2 linked regions of the Alligator mississippiensis genome follow. The protein of the gene in region 1 binds, or shares a complex with, the protein of each later gene. Links are inferred from orthologs where the notes say so. Each region holds a gene or a part of one and is shown in the gene's direction. Other genes may lie near its edges. The genes, in order: LLGL1 and PRKCI.

Region 1 (10,623 bases):
CCCCCATATGCGCCCTGCATCTCTGCCCTCTCTGCCGGTGCTTTGCAGTCATCTGGAGCTAAATCGCGTGTGCCGTGGGCGGCTCTCTGCGGCTGGGAGCTGGCGCCACGTTGAGCGTGGCCCGTCTCTTCCAGCACGCAGCAGCCCCCTATCCCCGCATCTGCCTTCTATTAGTCTCCTCCAGGCGCGAGGCTTGCCGTCCTCCTCCTCGCTGGAGCCGCCCAGCCTGGGGGACTGCTAATCAGCTGCAGAACTTATTGCCTCGAGGGCGGGTCGGGGGTTCGAGACCAGGCCAGACGGCTTCGTGCCTGTGCAGCACGGACCTCGGTGGAGCCTTGTTCAAGCCGGGGGGTTTCCAAATGAGGCATGGGACATCCAGGGGCACGGAGCCAATACCTCGTACCCTGATTGGACTGGCAAGCCCGTATCCCCAGCCCTACATTGCTGCGGGAGGCTGGGTTTCCAGCAGGACTGTTAGCCCTGGCAAGCAGAAAGTCAAGTGCTCAGCTGTGGGGTGCGAGGGGGGTATTTGAGGGAGAAGGGGGTGCTGGAGGGTTCTGGCATGTCCCCCACCGCAGCCGGGGGACCCCAGTCCTCGTCTGGCCCGGCTCAGCTGCCACCGTGCAAACAGCTGGGAGGTGCAGGAAGCTGACGGGAGCCTCCGGGGGCTTGGGGAGCTGCAGCTGGATCTCATTGGGGAGTGCGGAGGCGCCGTTGGACGGTGAGGCCGTCGGAGTGGGAGGGGGCAGGACGGAGAGGGGAAGGAATCTGCTCCATGGGTTTGCAAAGGCCGGGGGGAGCTGGGGTCCCCAGCAGCTTGGAGGTCAGGCCTGGGAGCTGGGGAGCTCCCGCCGAGGCGCCGTCCAGCTTCGCTGGGCTGGGGGGCAGCCGAGCCGAGCACAAAGGCCCTGGCCTGGCTCTCCGCGTGCAGGACAGGCGCTGCAGCCCGTCTCCTCAGGGAACAACTGAGCTGCCGGAGATGGAAGGGCCTTGTCTGAGGCACAGAGGGGCCACATGGGGCTGTGGCTGCCGGTTCCCGGCATGGGTGTTATCGCTGTGCCCTGCAGCTCGTGCTGGGGCAGTGCTGAGAGCAGGGCCCCGCTGCCTCAGTACCCTCCTCCTTCCCCAGAGTGCTAGCAAGCATGTCGGGCTTACTGACCAGGTGAGGGGATGTGCCCAAGGCTATGGAGTGAAGCAGTGTCAGAGCTGGGCTCGCCCCTTCCCCTAGCTCTCAGCAAAGGGTCTGTGTGACCTGTGAGCCAAGGCTGTGAATGGGCGCCGTGTCCCAGTTTGGGGTAACACAGCCGGGGGCTGCCGGGAGTTGACTCTCCTGTGGCCGCAGTCACGTGACGACAATCAAGGCAGCCCAGGCTCGTACCCCAGGCACCGGCGGGGGCAATGCCTCCGCTTCTGGGGCTGTCACGTGCGTGTCGGCCCCTAGCAGCAGTTAAGGAGGGCTCCGGTCTTTCCCCCCATGCCTGGACTCCCGTGTTCCCCTCGCCGGCAGAGCATCCTGACCAGCGCCCACTCGTCTGTCCTGGGGACGGGGCCCAGAGAGCTGCTCCCCTCCCGCTGCACAGAGACCTAATTAAAGACCTCTGACCTTTGGCTTCGTGTCTCACGACCCCATGCCCTGTCCCCATCCATCACCCAGGAGCGCTCGGCCTGGCTTCTTCCGGGTTTTCCCCGATCGCTCCTTGCTACAGACACCTCTGGCTTGCAGAGCTCATCCCCTGCAGCAAATGGGACGGCACAACCTGTACGAGGTGGGCTGGCACCATGGGTACGGCCAGCAGACGGGCACCCTCGTGCCCCAGCCCCATGCATATGGTCTCGCCCCTCACACCGTTGCCTCTTCTCGGGGTTGAGGCATGAGGCAGGGTTTCTTCCTCCCACACGTTCCCCCGGTGCAGGGCCCAGGTCCAGCCACCCTCTCCACTGGGCACGCGGGCCGGGTTTGCTCCGGGCGGCCAGCGCCCGCCCCGCTGCTTTCCCGAGGGCTGCAGGTTTCCAGGGAAATTCCAGCAGCAGCTGCGTCGCTCTGGCCCAGAACCGCGGCTATTCTTGGCAGCTCCAAAAATACCCGAGCGCTGCCTCCTGCTTCCTGCACCTGGCGGACGCATGCGCCTCCATCCCCATGCAAGCGCATGAGAGCCCGGGCAGGGAGGGAACGGCACGAGGGTTGGGACAGAGGTGCCAAGAGGGTGGGAGGGCGATGCAGGATTGGGGCCGGCAGTGAGGGCAGAGGGGCTGGTCCCAAGATGGTGGCGGCTCGGTCACGCCTGGGGTTGTTCACTGCGGGGAGTGGCGAGAGCCTGCAAGGGGGTTACAATCAGGGTGGGTCTTGGGCCAGTCCCCGCAGAGGGGAGCGTGATGCCCTGAACGAGGGGGCCGCATCCTGACGGCCTCCCTGGAGGAGGCTTCTTCTTGCCCTGCCCTTCAAGCCACCATCGGTCTCATGTGCTAAAGCTCATTTAAACCATAAGCAAAGCCTCTAGCAGTGGGGGAGCCCTGGGTCCCGTGTCTTGCACGGGCCTGGCCCACGTGTGAGCCCAGAGGAGGCTGGAATAGACCAGCCTGGCAGCACAGCCTCGTGCTCAGGGGCTGGACTGGGTCCTGGGGGCTTGGAGGGACAGCTTTGCACCAGCCTGTCGTGCCCCCGCAGCAGCCCCGTGGCACCAGACCTGGCTGCCAGTTCGCAGGGACCGGGGGCAGCGGGACGTGGTGCCTGGAGACGTATAGGAGGGGTCCGATGGCAATATTGAGGCCGGTGCTGAGCAGGGTGCTGTAGGGCAGGCACCCCCAGAGCCAGGCGGGCAGGGGGGGACAGCCTGAGCTGTGGGTGATGGAGCAGGGGCCCGGAGAGAACGAACCTGGCTCCGGGCAAGCCAGGTGCTCGGGGCCAGGAGCCCGGGGTCTCTGCAGGCTGCTGAGCCCCGAGGCGCGGCCGGCATTGAGCCGAGCGCCCTGAGCTTGGCCTGGCTGTGCTGCAGCTGCACCGCCGGGGCTTCCCGCTGCTTGCGAGGGCAGTGCTCTTGGCAGCTCTCACGATGCATTGTGCAAACCCTGTGCACCGCGGGGAATTTGCAGCTGGGCTGCGCCCTCCTCCCAGCCGCGGCAGATGGAAATGAGCTGCGGATCTGAGAGCAGGTGCTGGGGGCTCCCGGAGAGCGCTGGCGGCATGCACGTCCCTGCCCCAGAATGGGGCTGGTCCTGTCCTCTGCCCTGTCCGCAGTGCCCCTGGCACCTGGCTGAGCCCCTGCTGCGGTCACTGGCACGCAGCCACCGGTGCATGGTCCGGGAGCATTATTACGGGGTAAGAGCAGGCACATGGGCGCTTACCCCAGCTCCATCCTACTCCAGCTGTGGAGCTCAGGCTGGGAGCATGGGGCTCCCAGCTTCTGTAATGACCCCACTGTGCTAATTGGCCCAGGCTGCGCGGTGCCCGGCTGGTAGCTGATGTCACTGCAGGGCAGGGGCTATAGCGAGGCGCTGCCGGGCGCTTGAATTCAAGGGGAAATGCCAGATCTGATCGGCCCTATCCAGGCTCCTACAGCATCTGCAGGAGGTCCTTAAAGCCCCAGCTCCAGGAGTCAGGGGATGCCAGAGAACCGGGGGAGTTCCCAGCCCTCCCGGGTGCTGGGAAGAGCTGGCCAGCTGCCCCGGGAGGCTTGGGGACCAGGATGCAAAGAATAGCAGTGTTTTAGTAATATAATAATAACAACAACAGTAACAATCATCATCATAAATCATTATCCTCATCACTATTGCACAAAGCCTGCGGCTTTTGAGCCAGTCTCTCAGGCCTGGCCCACGGCTCGGAGCAGCTGGGAGTGGCTGTGCTGGAAGCCGTCAGCATTGGACTGATTTGTTTCCTGGGATGGGATGGGATGGGATAGTGGGGGGGCCCTTCATGGCAGCTGGGGGTGAGCGTGTGTGCACACGCATGTGTGTGTGTGTGTGTGTGTGTATTTGTCTGTCTTTATGGCAAGTGTGTGCGGGGGGGCAACAGGGTTTGTGTGTAGGGAAGCTTTTGGGACGTGTGTGTGTGTGTGTGTGTGTGTGTGTGCGTGTGTGTGTGTGTGATGAGCTGCTACCCAGGCTGGGGTGGGTGCGGAGCCAGTTTCTTTCTTCTCCCGTCAGGGCATCATGTTTGGGGGCAGAAGCTGGGCGTGGTGCCACCCTGCCCTGCCCTCGTGCCCAGCCTCACCCTGCCCCTGCCCACGGTCCCTGCCTGCAGCCGGAGGCAGAGGCGCAGACATGCGGCTCAACCAGTCGCCCCGTGCCCCAGCCGGGTGAGTCACGGCTTCCCGGCCCCGCGCCTTGTCTCCGCACCAGCTCGTTCGTCTGCTTGTTCATCACAACTAGCTCTCCCAGCCGGGGCTGGGCATGCGGCAGGAGGTGGGGGCCGGGGACAGGTGGGTGATGCCCTGACGGGAGCCCCAGGAAATGCCGACATCCCCAAGCCCTGCTGCTGCTTCTGTCCCAGCTGTGTGCACGGCGCTGTACAGACGAGTTGAGAGCGGGCCCTGCCCACGCACACCTCCAAGCAAACGCAGCATGCACCACCGGTCGGGAGGGCCTGACTCAGTGTTTCCTGGCTGTGACTCGGGCAGATGAGGCCACGTGTCTCATTACTGCCCTTGCCTTCGCCCCGGGGGCCTGCACCCCCACGGGACAGCGCTGGGTCCTGGAGGGTTTCCGCTAGACATCCGACAGCTCCTGGCTCAGCGGTGTCACGGCTGCCAGCCTGTCTGGTGATGCCGGCCAGTCCAGCTTAACACCAGGGGAGAGTTTGGCCCAGCTGCCAACAGTGCTGTACTTTGCTCTGGATGCAAATGGTTCTCATTAGTTCGCTTCCACTGCACGGTGACGTGGATCTCCAGGCGCGGGGCCTGCCCCTGCAGCGGGCCACCTGCCCCAGCCCCTGCCACGGCCGCCCCGGGGGGCGCTAAGCACCATGCCGGGGCCTGCAGGGCAGCTGGAGGCAGCCCAGGTGCAAAAAAGGCTGATATCTTCCCCCTCCGCTGGAAACACCCCTGGGTTGGTCTACACGGGTGCACTGCTGGGTGCTCCCACCCTCCCAAAGTGCCCGCTGCCCGGCCTGATGCCCCAGGGTTATGGGGGTTCCCCCACATGGCAGCCGCTGCCCAGGCAGAGGCAGCACTGGTGCAACCACTTGGGGTGCGAATTTGCACCCTCCCTGCCCCCCACTGTCTCAGGGTTAGAGGCCCTGTACCCATCTGGATAGGTGGCACCGCTTGCCCTCGGGCTTGACCCTGCTGGCTGGGGCATCCCTATCCCACATTCACCTCCCATGGTTAGGACGCCCGTGCCCTGCCCTGGGTGCTGCTGGATGCACCCCCGGAGGGAGCTGCCCAGGGAGCCCGGGGCGGAGGCAGGTGGGAGACGCACAGAGCCTGCACTGCAGGGGCAAGGACTTCAGCGGGGCCTCTATCCGCGTCTAAGGACCAGGGCACGATCCCGCCTGGATTCTTCTTTCTTCCCTGGAGCTCCTGCATGGCCCTATCGCGTGCCAGAGGCTCCAGGAGCAAGACGGCCTCTGCTCCGGGAGTCGGGGGGCAGTGGGGGCACGGCGGGCATGGATTTCACTCCCCACCGCCCTTTGGCAGGGAGCTGTGCCTCCACCTGGGGGTGACTGAACGAACCCAGCGCCCACAGCTGCAAGGGGTTGAAGGCACCTCCTGCTTTTCCTTGCAGCACCGTGGGGCACCCCCAGACCCCAGCTGGGGGTTAGGTGATAAATTGCGGGTGCCCATCACTGGGGGGTTGCAGACGGTGTGGGCACTGACGCTGTTCCCCCGCATGTGCCTAGGGGTGGCAGGGCGGGGCCCCCCAGCCCCAGGGCTGCTCTGAGCCCTCTGCAGGGCAGCGCCGCGCCCCGCCGCCAGGGGGCAGGCGAGAGCAACGCTGGCAGCAGGAAACTACATCTCCCAGCCTGCCTCGGGCCGGACGCGGCGCACGCGCACGAGGCGGTGCCGCCCTCCCTGGGGAGCCGCCCGGCGCCGCCCGCATTGTCTGGTCGGCGGGGCCCGCAGGGGGAATCGCTGATTGGCTGCCCTGAGCGTCACTCAGCCGCGGGCCCCTTGAAAAGAGCCGCCCCGCCCCGCCCCCTCCCAGCAGGGCGCCGCGCGGCCGAGGCGGCAGCAGAGTCCGATCGCGCCCGGCCCGCCCCGCGTGGCCCCGGTTCGAGCCCCGCCGCCGGCACCATGATGAAGTTTCGGTTCCGGCGCGGGGGCCACGACCCGCAGCGCGACCGGATCAAGCAGGAGCTGTTCGCCTTCAACAAGGTGCCGCGCCCGCCCCTGCCCCTCCCCCGTGCGTGTGTGTGTGTGTACAAGGGCTGGGGGGGTACGTGTGCATCCTCCTCCCTGCTGTTGGGGGGGGGGGGTGAAGCGGTGGTGGGGACGAGGCTTGCACACCCGGCGGGAAGCAGTGTGTGTGTGCGCGTGCAGGGGGGGCGGGGTGTGCAAGGGGTGCAGTGTGCGTGCAAGGGCGGGGGGTGTGCCAGGACACATGTATGGAGGGTGTGCATGCATATGCATGTGCGGGGGGTGTACAGTGTGTGTGTGTGCAAGGGAGGTGTGTAGTGTGTGTGTGTGCATACACGGGGGGTGTGCACGCAGGGGGGCGCAGTGCGTGTGTAAGGGGGGCCGTGCGTGCAAGGCTGTGCACGTGTGGGGGGGCACACATGCCGCGGGCCTCACAAAGCAGCGGGAGGCTGGAGCCACAGCTCGGGCTTTGTGCGGCCCCTTCCCTCCCCTCCCCGCCTCTCCGACCCCGGCCCCTCTCGGGTGCCCAGAGCCCCTGTGCCAGGCTCCAGCAAACCAGCCTCGGCCCCGGGCGAGGGGACGGTGGGGCCCCGGGGGCTGCTGCCCGGCCCTTGGGTTGGGGTCCCCACGCGGCCGGGGGCCTTGGGGCAGCGGGATGTGGCCCTCGCTCCGGGCAGGGTATAGCCCCCGGTGCCGGGCGCTCCTCCGTCAGCAGCCTGCGCCCTTTGTCTGGGCTGCCCCCTCCAGCAAGCCCTCTGGGCTCTTTCCCTGGAGCGGCGACCTGGCTGCGCTGGGGGGACCCGCGGCCCCCGGCTCTTGGCTGTCCGGCCTTCGCCCACCTCTGCCTCCTGACTGCTCGCAGAGGCCCCGTGGGGACGGCAGTGAGCCCCGGACACGATGGTGCATCCCCTCCCCACGGCTGCCCGGCCAGGGCCCCTGCAGGCATCCCCTGGTGCCCGGCCCCCAGCCCGGGGCTGCGCTTCGTGCCGGCAGCCCGTGTGGGACGGCTCGCCTGCCAGGAGCCGGGCTGCGGACTGGGCTAGGAGAGGAGGCTTCTCAGGGCCTTCCCTTCCCCGATGCCAGCGCTCCTGTTCCTCGCGGGCTCCAGCGTGAGGAGGTCCCACCTGCCCCAAGGAGCTTGTGGCCCAGGTAGGGGGGTCCCTGCTCCACCACGGTCCCCCTGGGCCTGCCAATCCCCGGTGGCTCGGACTCGAAGCACGTGGGAGAGCTCTGGCCTGTCCTGGGATGGAGCCAGATGGGGTTGTTACAGGGAGGGGGCTCCTCTCCTCCAAGTGCCTGGTGTGACCGGAGAAGGGCAGGGAAGTGCTGGGCTGTGCTCCCTGCTGCTGTCGGTCTCCATTGTTAAGCAAAGCTGTTTGGCTTTGAGCAAGGCTGGGAACGAGCAGACCTGGCACCTCTGCGGACCCCAGCGGGGAGCAGGGGGCAAACGGCTGAGGCTGCTCTCTTCTCTGCCCTCGAGCTTGCGTGGGAGCCTGCAGCAGCGCTGTGCATCGCTGTGCATGGCTTGGGACACAACCGTCTATTGGGGAGAGGGGCTGTGGACTCGCTCTCGGGGTGTGTGGGTGCGTGGCACGGGGAGGCGGTGCAGGAGCCCTGCAGGAAGCAGGGGGCTAGTCCGTGTGTGCATGCCGCCTTTCCTGCCTCGGCTCCCCAGCATGCAGGTGCCTCTGCATGGGGCTGAAGCTGGTGGGTTTTGGGCCCCGCTGCACATGGAGAAGGGCCAAGCTGCTGCAAGGGTTTCCATGTGGAAGCCGTGGTGGCTGCCAGCAGCCTCCCCTCCCAGGCATGTCATGCTTTGGGGAGCCGTCCCCCCGTAGAGCAGCCCCCTGCAGCCAAGCCAGCACCGTGGGACCAGTTGTGGCATGCTCCACTGCAGGACGCCGCCTCCATCGAGCTGGCAGGTAGCGGGGAGCTGGCTGGGGGCTCCTGAGCTCCCTTGGCCCCACAAGCTGCTCACTCCAGCGGTGCTGCGTGCCAGCTGCCAGGTTTGCAGCTGGGGCAGGTGGAGCATCCACTGGGCCTGGTGCTTTGGGCTGCTGTGACTCGAGCGTGTGCTGAGCCTGGAGCCGGGACTGGCCTGGCTGGTCCTGTGGGGTTGGCTGGTGTTGTCGAGCTGCTGACTGGCCCTGTTGCACCCAGGGCGGGCAGGCTAATGAGTCGTCTGCAGCTGGCGGTAGAAGTCCTGCACCATGGCAAGGGGAGATTTGCTGGGTCACGAGTTATTGTGTCGCTCCCGGTCCCAGAGGTCGGTTGCTGGCCTGATCTCTCAAGGACCCTGCTAGTAGCCGGCGGCTAATTCTGACAAGGGGGGGTTTTGGCCGCTGTCCTTGTCAGAAATGGGTCGATTCGGCCTCTATCCGGGGATGGGGCTGCAGCTGCACAGCAGCCTGCCCTGGATACCTGCTTCCACCCCAGCTGCCTCCTGGAAGCATGGCCTTGGCCTTCTGGGATGCCACGGGGTCCAGGACATTCTCCAGTTGCTGCAGTTGGTCTCCTGATGAGCAGGTGTCTTTGTGACTGGTGCTCGATCCCCAAAGTAGGGCAGAGGCAGGGCTGGATGAAGGCTGGTAACCTGAGGGCTGCGTGTGGTGGGTGCTGACCCAGCACATGGGGCGACGAGATGCCTTTGCAGATCTGGAGGCTGCCAAAGGCTGCTGCACCCGTGCGGGGAGCACGTTGGTCATCTCTCAGCCTCGGGGCTGCTGTGCTCTTGGGTGTTTGTGTTGCATCATGAGCATCTTGACCTGGGGAAGAAGAGGGGTCCTGGGCGTGAGTTAGAAGCCCCACATTTGCCCATTGTTGAGGTGCTTTGCAGTGATTTCTTGGCAGGTCTGGACCCAGAGTCCAGAAGGAGAGGGTGTTAGATTGGTCCTCCACCTCCCCGGCATCTGCAGTGGGGTCCAGAGGGCCATGCAGAGAAGCCGGGCACCTGGGCTGCACTGCGTGGACTAAGGATGAGTTTGCATCTGTCCAGCCCCTTGCAGGCCTGACCTCCGCTCCGTCCGTGGCCACCTTGCCCAGCGACGTGAAGGTGTTTGTGCTGCCCATGCTGCTAGAAGCTGGCTCTTCTGTGCCCCTGCGGGTGTTGGGTATTTGCAGGGCACCTGTTGAAGGAGATTGGTTCTCCCCACCACGTGAGGTGGCTGTTGGAAGATGTCAAGGTTTGATCCCCTTCCTGGTGCCATTAGAGCCACTGGCTCAGCCAGGCCTATGGGCAGCATGGGTCAAGTGGTGCTTGCAGCATGGAGCCCTGGGCTGCTGTCTGCAGCTGCAGTAATGCCCGTGCTCTAGCCCCTCTTCCATGGACTGGACTCGGAGCAGCTTTTGCAGAACTGGATCTGGTCGTGGGCTCTCGCACAGCCCAAGGGTTTCCAGGCCTGGGTCTGGCCTGGGCTGGCGTGGCAGGCACCCCCCCCCGTGCTTCCCTGGCAGCCACAGGCAGGTTGGCACCCAGTACCTTTGCATGGGACTGGTTTCTCTTCCTGCCTTGGCCTGGCCTCTCTGCAGAGCTCCTGCTGAAATTCAGCTTTGCCTTCCTGTGCGCTGGCCTGTGTTGCATCCTGGTGCCATCCCGAGGGCTGGGTCTGTGCATCCTGGCGACTGATTCGGTCTCCAAGGGGCTCTTAGCACCCAGCTAAAATCTGCAGATCTGAAGCTCCCAGGTGCTGCACTTGCAAGGCTCATTGGTCTCTCGGTCACAGTACCATCCAGCTGCTGTCTTGTGGGTGCATCACTTGTTCCCCAGGTTAAACTTGGAACCAGTTCTCACAGACCTCATTTCCCAGTGTCTCCCAGTTGTATTGGGGTGAGGAGCATGTGGCTGTGGTCTGCTGCCTGGCCAGTCTGTCAGCGCTGCTTGGGCAGAAGGATTCTGCTCCAAGTGTCTCTGCTGTGCCGAGGACAAGGCTGGGGGTAGCAGCAGCAATGTGGGGGGGAGAAGGATGAGCAGGGCCCACCTGGAAAGGGCTGACAGTGCCAGAAGGGGCAGAGTTGCTGTTGCCTGTCTTCCTCTAGGATCTGGACAGTGACACATGGGTGGGATGCTGGGTGTGGGGGGACATTCGGGCCCATGCATTGGGAGGAAGATGAAGAGGCAGTGGATACCTGATGACGGGCGGTCCCCATGTGCCAGGCCCCCCCGGCTCTGCAGCCAGTGCATGCAAAGGGGATTGCAGGTGTCTGGGCACGGGATGTTCCAGGTGGTGCTCTCGGTGCCATGTACCAGGCCTGCCAGGGGGTTGTTGCTGAACGTTGAAGGGACATGGGCAGGGGATGCCCTGCAGCAGTGACCACTTCCCTGGTGAGCAGG
Region 2 (11,425 bases), on another chromosome or scaffold:
AACTACAGCAAAATAATACAGCAAAAAACTGACAGAAGTCATAGAGATAACATCTGCCACTTCTATACCCCTTGGGCTGAAATACAGAGGGCAATAAAAACAGCAATCATGATTATTCCTGTGGCTGTACACAGCACGGCAAATATAATAAGAACATCCCCACAATGCTGATATTTTATATTTAGGTTTTTATAACAATTAATATTACATGTAAGATTTCAAAAGATATCTGAGGGTAAACAAATCCCCTTGTTTTAAAATATCTCCAGTCTGTCTCCTTGTTTTACACCTTAGTGATGACGACTCCTAAATGCGTTCTCTCTCTCTCTCTCTCTCTCTCTCTCACACACACACACACACACACACACACGCGCACACACACACACACACACACACACACACTTTTACAGGTCCATTTAAGTCAGGGGACTTCCTAGTTAATTTAACTAAAATATTACACCTAAAATGTGTGTGTGTGTCCATTCATACGTATATGTATAGATAGATAGATAGATAGATAGATAGATAGATAGATAGATAGATAGATAAAATGTTCTTAGCTTTTCTTTGAAACAGACATTTTAAAACAAGTCACTTGGGCCTGTGTGATGTATTTATTCATTGATTGATTTGATTTGATTTGATCTGATTTAATTAATATACTGTCCTTTCAAACAAAGGCTGGATTAAAACAAGAGAAGAGAATAATTTATAAAACAGGAGAAGGAACAAGAGAACAAAACAACTTGAAAGGGAACTGGTGTATCAACATAAAACAGAAACTTCTGAACCATATCCCAAACTACCTGTGTTTGCTAAATTAAGCTTTTTGTGAATTTGTTGAAGTTAATTCCAAACGAGATACTACAGGAGTAATGAAGAACCAACTAGTGACTGAGTGTTTGCACATTACAGTAAGGTCTCCTATAAACTGAAAGATGCCAGTAAAATTGCTTTTTCCCAAAAATGGTGGTGTATGATCAAAGCTTTGAGGATATAAGCTAGCTCATTTAATGATAGATTGCGTATCTCTTTTCTGCAGTTGGCAGTATTTTTAGTGCAGTTCAGAATTCTTACTTTTATCTCTAGTCTTCAAAAGATGTATGTAATGCTTTAGAAGTGTGATTTTTTTTCATGGGTAATCTATACTTCTAAACAAAAGTGATTAAGTACCGAAATCAAACCAAACAGAGATAGGATAATAAAAGCCAGAATGTAAATACAACTAGGGAGTATCTGAGTCTAGGCAGGCTGGGAGTAATAAAATGTACTGTGTGGGGAAAATAAGTCAGAGTACAAAACAGGATTTTACAGGGTTTAAGAGTAAGAGACTTTCTGGCCAACAGATTAAGGGAGAGATTAATCCCAAGAGTGGAAAAGACTAAAAAGCTGATGAATGAGGAAAAAATTAGATCCTCGCCATAGGGCTGGCAACTCTCAGACTACTGATGTAACAGAGTTGAACAGTATATTGTTCAACAATATAGTATCAGTAGTCTAAGAGTATAGTGTTCAACTCTGATGACCCAGGGGAAGCAGGGATGCAAGAGGTTCAGACACAAAGGCCATCTCCTGAAGACACAGTATGCACAGACCGTTCTGAAAAAATTAATACAAAATCTCCTCCAGTTATGGTGAGCTGGCAAAGGGAAGTACAGCAGTTTGGAGTGACTTTGTATGATGAGGAAGTTTGCTTTGTAAATTTGAACAGGACTGAATCTTTCATTCAATCGCTAGAGACTGTTTTATAGCATTACCCCCAGGATGGACCTGAATGATTTATTTTTTAGCTATGGTTAAAGAGCAATACACTTTTGTTTATTATTAAATAAAATTAGCAAAAAACAGAGGTACTCTGAATGCAGATGATTTCCTGAACTGGGTTAGTAATCTGCTACAGAATAATGCAAAGATAGTGGGGAATAGGACAGTACAACCCACTGTAGCAGTTATAAAATGCTGGGGACCTGAAGAATTAAAAGCTAACCCAGATAGCCAAATAGTGGACTCAGTATAGTGGACAGTTTTGATGATAATGTGTGTTTTGCTGGCAGGTTTACGGTAGTTGTGACTGATGGGAAACACACTACTACTGAGCTTTTAGGTGGGGCTACAATGAGAACTTGCGGGGGGGTTCCAATCAGAATAGATGATGATCAGTGATGGAGTCATACTGGCACAGCATGTAGGAGGCACCACTAAGGCGTAAAATAAAGGTTCAGTCTGGAGACATTTTAAAACAAGGGGATTTGTTTACTTTAGGACACCTTTTGAACTGTTACATGCAAGAATCATTGCTATGAAATCCTGTACATAAAAAAAATCAGTATTGTGTGGACATTTTTATGACTTTTGCTATGCTGTGTAGGGCCATAATAATCATGGCTGGTGTTTTTGTTGCCATCTGTATTTGACCACAAGAAGTATAGAGGCAGCAGGACTTAGCCAGAGATATGACTTGTCAGGTGTTTTGGAAGACTTGAATATGTCCTGAGGGACACATGGACCTAGTGATTCAAGCAAAATTTGCTGCATGCCTCAGTTCTACAGGGACAAAAGCTGCAAACATAAAGGTCAGTGTTGAAATCCATGTTGATCTAAATAATATAAAATAGCATTAGAGCCCTGAAATTATTGGAAAATCATGTCTCTTTATGATTTTGGATGTGGACAAAAGACTAATGTGGATATACCTAATTGCATCTTGTCTAGATTGCAGGGAGACCTTGGCAGAATTTAAGGGTTAAGACTGTGTTCTGGACTTTGTCAATACATTTATGGCTATGTGGTTAGAAGAATGATTTCAAAGCTTACATTCAAACATTATGAAATATGCTTGTCCATAGGTGGCTGATAGGAAAGCTGCATGTAGACTGGATAGCTCAGAGAAGTAAACTAATGAGCAAAGGCCTTGGACTTTCATTGTATTGACTCTAAACTTAGCATGAAGCTCAGTAGAAGTCAAAGACCATGGCTTTTGAAGGGGCCAAAAGCTGTTTTCCATACTAATGTTCTTAAAAAGAACAACTATGCTAGGCCTATGACTTAGCTGCAGCACTTGGGGGGGTGGATCATATGCTTTCCGAGGAGAAACCAGGGTTTCTGAAACAACATCCTTGACCTGTAAAAAGATCTGGTATATTATTACCACTTGGATGTAAAAATGTTGCAATAAGATTGTATCCTGTACAAGAATCCCTAGAAATAACTGTTAGTGGTTATAAAAATTGTTCTGTCATATAGCTCCCATTCCAGACAACTACCCTGGGCAGAAAGAGCCTCTGCCATAACTGTTTAGTGGCTGATAGGTACAGTTCATACTATGCATGTACAACATGCCTCAAGGGTGAACACTTTCAAATAAATTGCTGCTTTCCAGATGGTTGCACAGTTAACAATGACAAAGCCACAGCTTTTGAATGTACTGACTCATTTTTCATGGGTGAGCCATCTCCTATTGTGAAAAGGTATAATATCCTTTGGTCAGGTCAATGCTTGTTCAATTTTATCATCAGACAAGGTTTAGGACTAATTTTCTTTAAAGACAGGGATTTGTAATCAGGGACAATGGGAGCCCAAATGGAGAGACATGTTATTGCCTTACAAGGAACTTTCAGATTTTCTAATAGCTAGTTCACCTCCAGTGCCCCGAGATGGTGTTTTGAAACTAGGACTATTAGTGTTTGTCCATATTAGAAACCTGTGTCCAATGAACAAAATAAATATTATTATTTTTACCAGCCTGTACCTGAATGCAAACAAGAAATACCCAGTTGGAATCACTTAAATTATTTATGACAATTTTAATTTGCATTCACGTGCTTTGGAAGCACCAATGTTAAAATAAACCTCCACAAGGACTGCTTTTTTTACCCTTGCTGTCAAACTTCTGTTTCATATGTCTGGTACATACAGAGTCTAAACAGCATTTGCCTTGGAGAAATGATGACAAAAAGAAGGCAATCACAAGCAGCCAATGCACTATAAAATCGAATGGGGCGAGAAAAAACAGAATCCGGTTGGCCAAAATCTGTGATAGTGGAATTTATCTGCAAGACTGGATATGTTATTTTCTGAAAACATGACATTACACATGCAACAAAAACAAGATTTGTCAGGGTTTCTCATCTGATACAAGGGCATGATCAAACAAAATCACTAGACCAGTTATATCTAGGAGAAAGAAAGTATTTATTTATATTAAGGTCAAATTAAGGTAAACTCCAATGAAAAGTTGCTATATTGTTTCTAATCTCCTTGTAGAGGAAGTTCACACAGGTACTGACCCTCTATCACCAGTTCAGTGGATGATCTTCATAAATTCTGACACTAGGGGTCAGATTCTTAAGCCTGTTGCAGAAAAAACTACTACTATCAAAGTGATTTTGACAGAAACAGATTTTTGTATGCAGAATCACTCACTTTTTAGTAATCACTTAATTGACATGCCTTATTCCATCACCTATGTCTCTATATCTGTCCTGAAGAGTGCATGCCTTTCAGCCTGTTTTCCAGTTGTGATTTCTATTCCACCACATTTGACTGACTTCTAAGTATTGTAGCCATACTACTGGAACTTTGGTAAATGCAAGACCTCTTGTTTAATACTGGCTATTAGAAAGTTAGGTCCATGGATTCCTTATTTTTTTCTGAGGTGTTTAACAAATGAATTGACTGTCTGGCTTGTTGCAAGTCATCAAGTAGAATTTAGACAATCTTGCAGCTAAATTTCTAGATTTGTTTTCCTTTCCCAACAATAAGCTATAAACCTGTTGCTCCTGTTGCCACAGCTGTTTAAGTAGGTGGAGTGTCAAATATTTGACAAAGAGCTTTCTGTTTTCTTCTGGCAAGTTATCGATTGCCTGTACTTACTGCCTGCAGAAGTAAATACAACCCAAAAGCCATATTGGTGTGTATGGTGGCAGGGGGAGAGATAATGCAGTTGATCACTCAACCAGCTCACTTTTTTGGAGTAGTTCAGAGTGTTCCTCACCAAATGATGTTTCACTCACAAATCTGAGTACACTGTTGGAGCAATTTATTTCTGTAATTGCATCCTGTTACACCTGAATGCTGCTGCATTGAACACTGTAGCTCATGCCAGTTTTAGTAACTGACTCAATCACAAACTCAACACAGTGGTAACTCTTAGCACAGTTCTAGAAAAGGAGCTTTACAGTACATTTCGAAGGAGAAAATGGACTGCTCTAGATGCCAGTTTTAGCACATGCATTGGAAGCGGAACTGACATTAAAGTTAACAGGAACTGGACTGGGCTTAAATCCAACAAAGCACTTAAGTCAACAGGATCACCTAGTGCTTTGTGAGGCGTGTACTTGGTTTAATTGGAGCCAACAGAAGAATTTGAAGTCTGACTGTTCTCACTTTGCCACAAGCAGAGTACTCTGATAGGTATATTTTAAAATCTAAAAATGCTGCCTGTGCAAGGTCTTGTGGGAATGTCCTGAGATGGCCAACGATAATAATCAGCTTGTAGAGGACTAGTTATCTAATCGCCCACACACTTAGAGGTCTCCATAATTAAACTCTCAACAACACTTAGCTATTTCCTATTAAAAATAGAGAACATCCAGCTTTTTGTAACACATTGCTGCTCGTATAATACAAAATCTTACACGGCAGCAGCAATACCCTTGGCATTGTTAGTATAAGTTTTTGTAGCTGGGTAAGCTTAGTCCAGTGGTTCTTTGCCTTTTTGGACTCGAGACACCCCATGAACAATGACAACTTTTAGTTTTCACTCCATTTTTGATGGCAGAAAGGATATTAGAGTAGATGTGATATCTTTTATTAGACCAACTGAATAGTTGGAAAAAAGTTCTTAGCAAGCTTTTGGGCGCAATCGCCCTTCTTCAGGCATAGGAACAGCAGAGACTCCCTATGCCTGAAGAAGGGCGATTGCGCCCAAAAGCTTGCTAAGAACTTTTTTCCCAACTACTCAGTTGGTCTAATAAAAGATATCACATCTACTCAAAGAACCTTGCCTGCCCATGTCCCTAGACCAGTACAGCTACCCCCAGCAACCCAGAAAAATATTAGAAGAATTCTAACACGATATTAGAACCATTCTAACAACACTAGAACAATTAGAACAATTGCAAAGAACTCGGAAAAACCGCAACAGGTCACAACGCTTTGACATCTGCGGGTTTGTCTGGTGAAGCACGTGTGCACGCTTAACATTGGGGGCAGCCTTGCAAGGATTTCCAGGCTGCTGGGGTTGCCGTGGCTGGGAATCACTGGCTCACTTCCTGCCCTCTGGCCCGATGCTGAGCAATCCTGGCAACCCTGTCCCCGTGCATCCACGGGGATTCAGGAGCACCGGCACTGCCCGCCCCTCAGTCCCAACCGGTCCAGCACGCGCGGCGGACTACAAGTCCCATCATGCCTCACGGCTCCGGCATTGGGTTGTACCAACTGCCGTGGATTGAGGAGGGGGGGAATCCTCCTAACCCCGAGCACCTTCGAAGCGGCCCGCCCCCCGCGGTGTGAGCACTTGGTTCAGGCCGCGGGCAGGGGGCGGGGCAGAGGCGCTCCGGGGCGCGGGGGTAGCCGCCGCCTCTTCGCGCCGGGCCCTCGGGAGCGGCCGCCGCCGGGGAGGGAGGCGGGAGGGCAGGGGCGGGCGGGCGGGCGGGCGGGCGCGCGGCGATGCCGACGCAGCGGGAGGGCAGCGGCGGCGGCGGTACCACCATGTCCCACTTGTCGCTGGGCGGCGGCGGCGGCGGCGGCGACAGCGCTCACCAGGTCCGCGTCAAAGCCTACTACAAGGGGTGAGTGCGGCGGCGCCGCGTGTTCGGGGGCAGGCGGCATTTTTGGGAAGAGAGGCGTTTCCTTCTGCCCCTCCCTGGCTCCTCCAGGCCCCCGCTGAGCCTTGGCCCTTTGTTCCAGGGGTTTGCACAGTGCTTGGGAAGAGACCCCCCCCCCCCTTACCATCTAAGCAAGGGCAAGACTTGGCTTTGGAGAGAGATGAGCAAATAAAAATAAAGAACTAAGAGCGTGAGGAAATGCATCAGTGCTTTCATTAAGCCTGCATTGCTTTCCCTTTAGTAATCCATGTAATAATCACGGTTAAGATAAGGCCAAAAGCCACGCGATGATTGGGACAGTTTATATAGAGCTGTACGCGTGATATTTTGCTTGTCACTTCCGTCCGTAGCATCTCTGGTAGACCGGCTTTTTTTTTTTATTTTTTATAAAGAAATATCTGAATGGTGTTTGCGTGAGCATTTTGAGGTGTTAAATTACTTAGATTGTGTGCAGTTGAAAGCCATTTAAGATTTCATCGCTAACAAGAACAACAACGTGTTTCTTGTGTGCGGGTCGGTGTGAGATGCCTCTCTCCGTTCACCTGGGTGTAAATGCAGTTGTCAGTTCAAGTAAAGGATTGAAACTAACCAACTCCCTTTGTGACTCACGTTAATGATCCCGGTTATAAACAAGCTGTCTAACTGGAATGCCTTCCTCGTGAGCTGTATGAAGGTCTCATTTATACATTTCCTGCCCACCCCCACTATTTTCCTCTAACTTTATGCACTCCAAAAAATTCTCTCATGCTCCATTCAGCCTGTCAGACTCTCATCTTAAACTATCAGAAACCTTGCTAGAATATACGATTTTACTTATGTCTGGCTTCACACTTGGGGACTGAAGACCTTAAACTCTCTGGCCCCCTAGCTAGCATGGAGACAGTGCTTTTGCTCAAGGAATTTGGCTAGGGAAACTGTTTTGAAATTATAATTTTTTCTCTTCAGAAAAAAGTTGTTGGAGCTGACATAAGTGTGTATGTACATGCCTGCGTATGTATATGTACATGTTCTGATGGACCTTCACCAGGGAAGGTTTCTTGGCACAGGGATAGAATTTCTGCTCAAATCCAGGGGGTGGACATTTTTATGGTGGTACAAAGGCGAAGCAAACCAACATCCATACCCCCTTGTCTTGTGTCAAATGCCTAAAACTTGTGGTCATAACTTGTGACTTGGTAGCAGCCTATAAGTATACAAGGGGTGTGCATCAGGATCTGGGGGAACCCCTGTTCAGAGCACCCGAACGAAAGACAACGTCCAGTGGTCACAAACTCCTGGAAGACCATTTTAGGCTGGACATCAGGCAAAAAACTTCTTTACCATCTGTGTTCCCAGAGCCTGGAATAGCACCTGTAGGCACCTACTCCAGACACTTTTAAGAAACATTTGGACACTTATCTTACTGGGATTCTTTGACCCTAGCTGACTTCCTGCCTCTTGGGCAGGGGCTGGACCCAGTGATCTTCCAAGGTCCCTTCCAGCCCTAATGTTTATGAAATCTATAATCAATTTGTGATGCTTTATTACAGCAGATGTCTTTTAGGTTTATGGTGGGAGAGTGTGGTCAGCTCAGAGCTGCTGATGCTTTCCAGCAGCCCTGGGCTGGCACTCCCATGGTTTCAGAGTCTCAATCCCATGTGCCCTGAGAATTCCCATTCCTGGGGCAAGCAGGATCAGGCCCCGAAGGCCTGGGAGCACCTGCCTGGGTTCCCCTGTTTGGGATTTCCCAGACATCCATTGACACTCTAGTATGGTCCCAGACCTGAGACGGACAATCAGCTTATTGGCGGGGCCTGGGCCTTGGACCACACTGGAGTACGGAAATTGCTCCAGTGTAGTCTTGGGACTGAGGCTGCCAATCAGTTCACTCGTGGTTCCAGCCCCAGGACCACAATGGTGTATGTAGCTCTGTCTGATGTGGTCTCCAGGGCAAGTTTCTGTAAGCTGAGAAAGCTAGGGTTTCCCTTGTTAGAGATGTGCCCCAAAGATTTCCAGGGCACATCTCTGTTAGTGGGGAACACATTGCCCATTGTCCCACAAGATCAATGGCGGGACAATGGGCAATCTGTGTTTTGCCCAGTGAGGTGGATCAGTTATGCCAGGCGCATCCTGGCACTCCTCATCTGTTCCATTTGGTGCCATCTATTTCTAGCCTTAGAGCAATAAATAGTCTACCCAGGTCTCTTGCCAGGGAAGTCAAGTCCCTTGTCTGAATCAAGTAGGCCAGAGTCTTGAACTTTGTTCTTACCACATTGCAGGTTAATGCCCTGCCTGCTACAGGCCTGAAACAAGTCTCTTCATAACTCTTGGCTTTTGACAAGAATTTTATAAAGTCTGGGTTTACTCTGTAAATAGGAAAACTTCTGAAATTTAATTTTAGTGAAATCAAAACTTCATGAAAATCTGTTTTTGCTCAGTTGTAAGATATCTATTCAAGGGCTTTGTTGCTAGAGTATCAGCTGTGAAGTGTGTGAATTTTAACTCTTGGAGTTGCTGAAGAATTAGGTAGCAAAAACAGTCATCTCATTGCAGTAGGACTTGAGGGCTCTTTTGGGAACCTTAACCATATTCAGCCTGATTTATTAGAGCCTAGATCATTTGTTAAAGAGTGGCAAAGGTTCTCAGATGGTGCTGTAGCATTCATAAGAGATTCAACAAAAATTCAAAGAGCATATGAGTTTGATGAACAGTTTGAGGCACTATACCAGGGTAGGAAACCCCTGGCACAGGTGCCAGAGCATGGTGCACACAGGCATTTTGCTTGGCATGCGTGCCTTGGGGCAGAGGGTGGGGAAGGGGGCTGTGCTGCAACAACAAGGATTGGGCCCCTCATGGCTCCTCTGCCATCCACCCTTAGCACACCAACATCTTACAAGTTGAGGTTGTGGGTGTTTTTACCTAAAAGCATTGCTGACCCCTGCACTTGACTTTGCCAACATCCATAGGTGTAAGGACTCCAGAACTGGGTGTTAGCTGTAGCCAAACTGGGGATTTTGACTAGGATATGCTAATGTTCCTGCTTGGGCTAAAACCTTGAGGGTTCCTGGTTTAGAGGATCTTACCCCCTGCTCAGAGTCGGATCGATTGCTAAATTCAGAGGGTCAGGAAGGAATTTTATCCCATGATCAGATTGGTATAGACTGTGGTGGGGTTTTGCCTTCCTCTACAGTGTGGGGCATAGCCCTTTTCCTTACATTGCTCAGGTGTATTTTAGCACCCCTTACAGCAGCAGGACACTAGCTGCCATTGTTCTCCTGCTTTACCTGTAGCAGGTTAGGGTGTTATATATGATCCCAGTACTGTAGAAAGAAAATGAATTAACCAGGAGAGGCACAGTTTAGAGTGGCATAAATTATAGTGACATGTATGTTGCTGGGAAGATAAGTCTAGAGTATGTCTCATTGCTAATGGCAAGTCTTGAAAAGGAACCATTATCCACAAATGAGTATTACTTGTGTTTAGGGACTAGTATGGATAACAGACTTGTGATATACCATCAACCTTTCAGCTGTGTAGGCTGCAATGTAGATCAAACCTAGAGCATAGTTTGATGACAGGGAAAAGATGCTTGTGTCCCACATACAGTGGAAATTATACCCTTGATGAAATGGGTAACAAACTTTATGATACAAATAAGTTTGGAGGATTGGTGTTCAATCTATATATTTATGAAAAAATACTAAATGAACTAAAATATTAAAATGTTTATACATCTCATTTTAATATCTGAAAACTAATTTATGATTAATATGGTGTCTTCCACTGAGGACATGAGAAGCGTGAAAGTGGATTGCATAGTAGAGGCTAAGTGGCCTCCTCGTGAGTAAAAACAAGAAAATACTTACGATGAGATGCCAGAAGTGGCACGTGTTAACTTGCCTTTTCTTTTTTATTAATGAAGCTTGTGTGAGTAGGTAGGGGAAATAATGGTTTAATATAAGTCAGAAGTCAAAAGATACCACACAAACAATTGCTTTGCTTTGTGTTCCCAAATGAATTATTAAGTTAATAGTGCAGCAAGTCTCTGCATTGTTTGACACAATTTCTTTCAGCAGAGTAGTCTGTCAAATATGATATTCTGTGAAGGAGAACATAAATATTTTAAGTGTTTATGCCTTTTATGTACATAAATATATTCATATCTGTCCCTGCTTCATCACAAAATTGATTTAGTTATGAGGATCAGTGGATCCTTGGACATAGCTAGGAATAAAACCTCACCTGCTCTTCTAGTGTTAATCTCCAGACTGTAAACTTCTGCTATGGGGAGAACTGCTTTAAATCAGTGGTTCTCAACCTCTTTGTCCAGATGGGCAGTACCCTGTCCCTCCACAGCCCAGAACTGGCCTGTGGACCCAGTCTGGTGCCTAGGGCAGGCATGGTGGGGGCTGGGGGGAAGTCTGGCCCTGATCCAGCCCTGCTGAGGAAGGGGGCTATAGCCAGCAGTTGGCGGGGGGGGGGGTGGCTCAGTCCTGACCCAGCCCTGTAGACAGAGGGGGCATGGCCAAAACCCACAGGAGGAAGGGGGAGTGGCCTGGCACCAACCTGGCCAGGCAGGAGGGAAGGGGGTGTGGCCCAGCCCTAGATCACACAGGGAG

Evidence for each region.
Region 2: the proteins of LLGL1 (region 1) and PRKCI are in contact, whole or in part, in a cryo-EM structure (PDB 8R3Y), measured with the Homo sapiens proteins. The link is inferred for Alligator mississippiensis from reciprocal best matches to the Homo sapiens genes LLGL1 and PRKCI. Residues at the interface, in NP_004131.4 of Homo sapiens: Ala315, Asp319, Glu367, His391, Ser392, Ala394, Thr396, Glu453, Cys483, Glu484, His485, Phe506, Asp507, Pro508, Tyr509, Ser510, Asp511, Pro513, Gln518, Lys519, Lys569, Ala600, Val601, Thr602, Leu644, Gly648, Pro649, Leu650, Ser651, Arg652; in NP_002731.4 of Homo sapiens: Asp339, Met341, Gln345, Arg348, Leu381, Asp382, Met399, Thr412, Phe413, Cys414, Pro417, Leu425, Glu445, Gly449, Arg450, Ser451, Gly457, Ser458, Ser459, Asp460, Asn461, Pro462, Asp463, Asn465, Thr466, Glu467, Asp468, Tyr469, Leu470, Phe471.

The regions. Positions count from the first base shown.
Region 1 is NC_081836.1:54,998,931-55,009,553, forward strand, and holds the start of LLGL1 (lethal(2) giant larvae protein homolog 1), read left to right. Parts: upstream 1-6,122; 5' UTR 6,123-6,230; coding exon 6,231-6,311; intron 6,312-10,623. UniProt on the Homo sapiens protein: Cortical cytoskeleton protein found in a complex involved in maintaining cell polarity and epithelial integrity. Involved in the regulation of mitotic spindle orientation, proliferation, differentiation and tissue organization of neuroepithelial cells.
Region 2 is NC_081830.1:74,795,091-74,806,515, forward strand, and holds the start of PRKCI (protein kinase C iota type), read left to right. Parts: upstream 1-6,651; 5' UTR 6,652-6,669; coding exon 6,670-6,791; intron 6,792-11,425.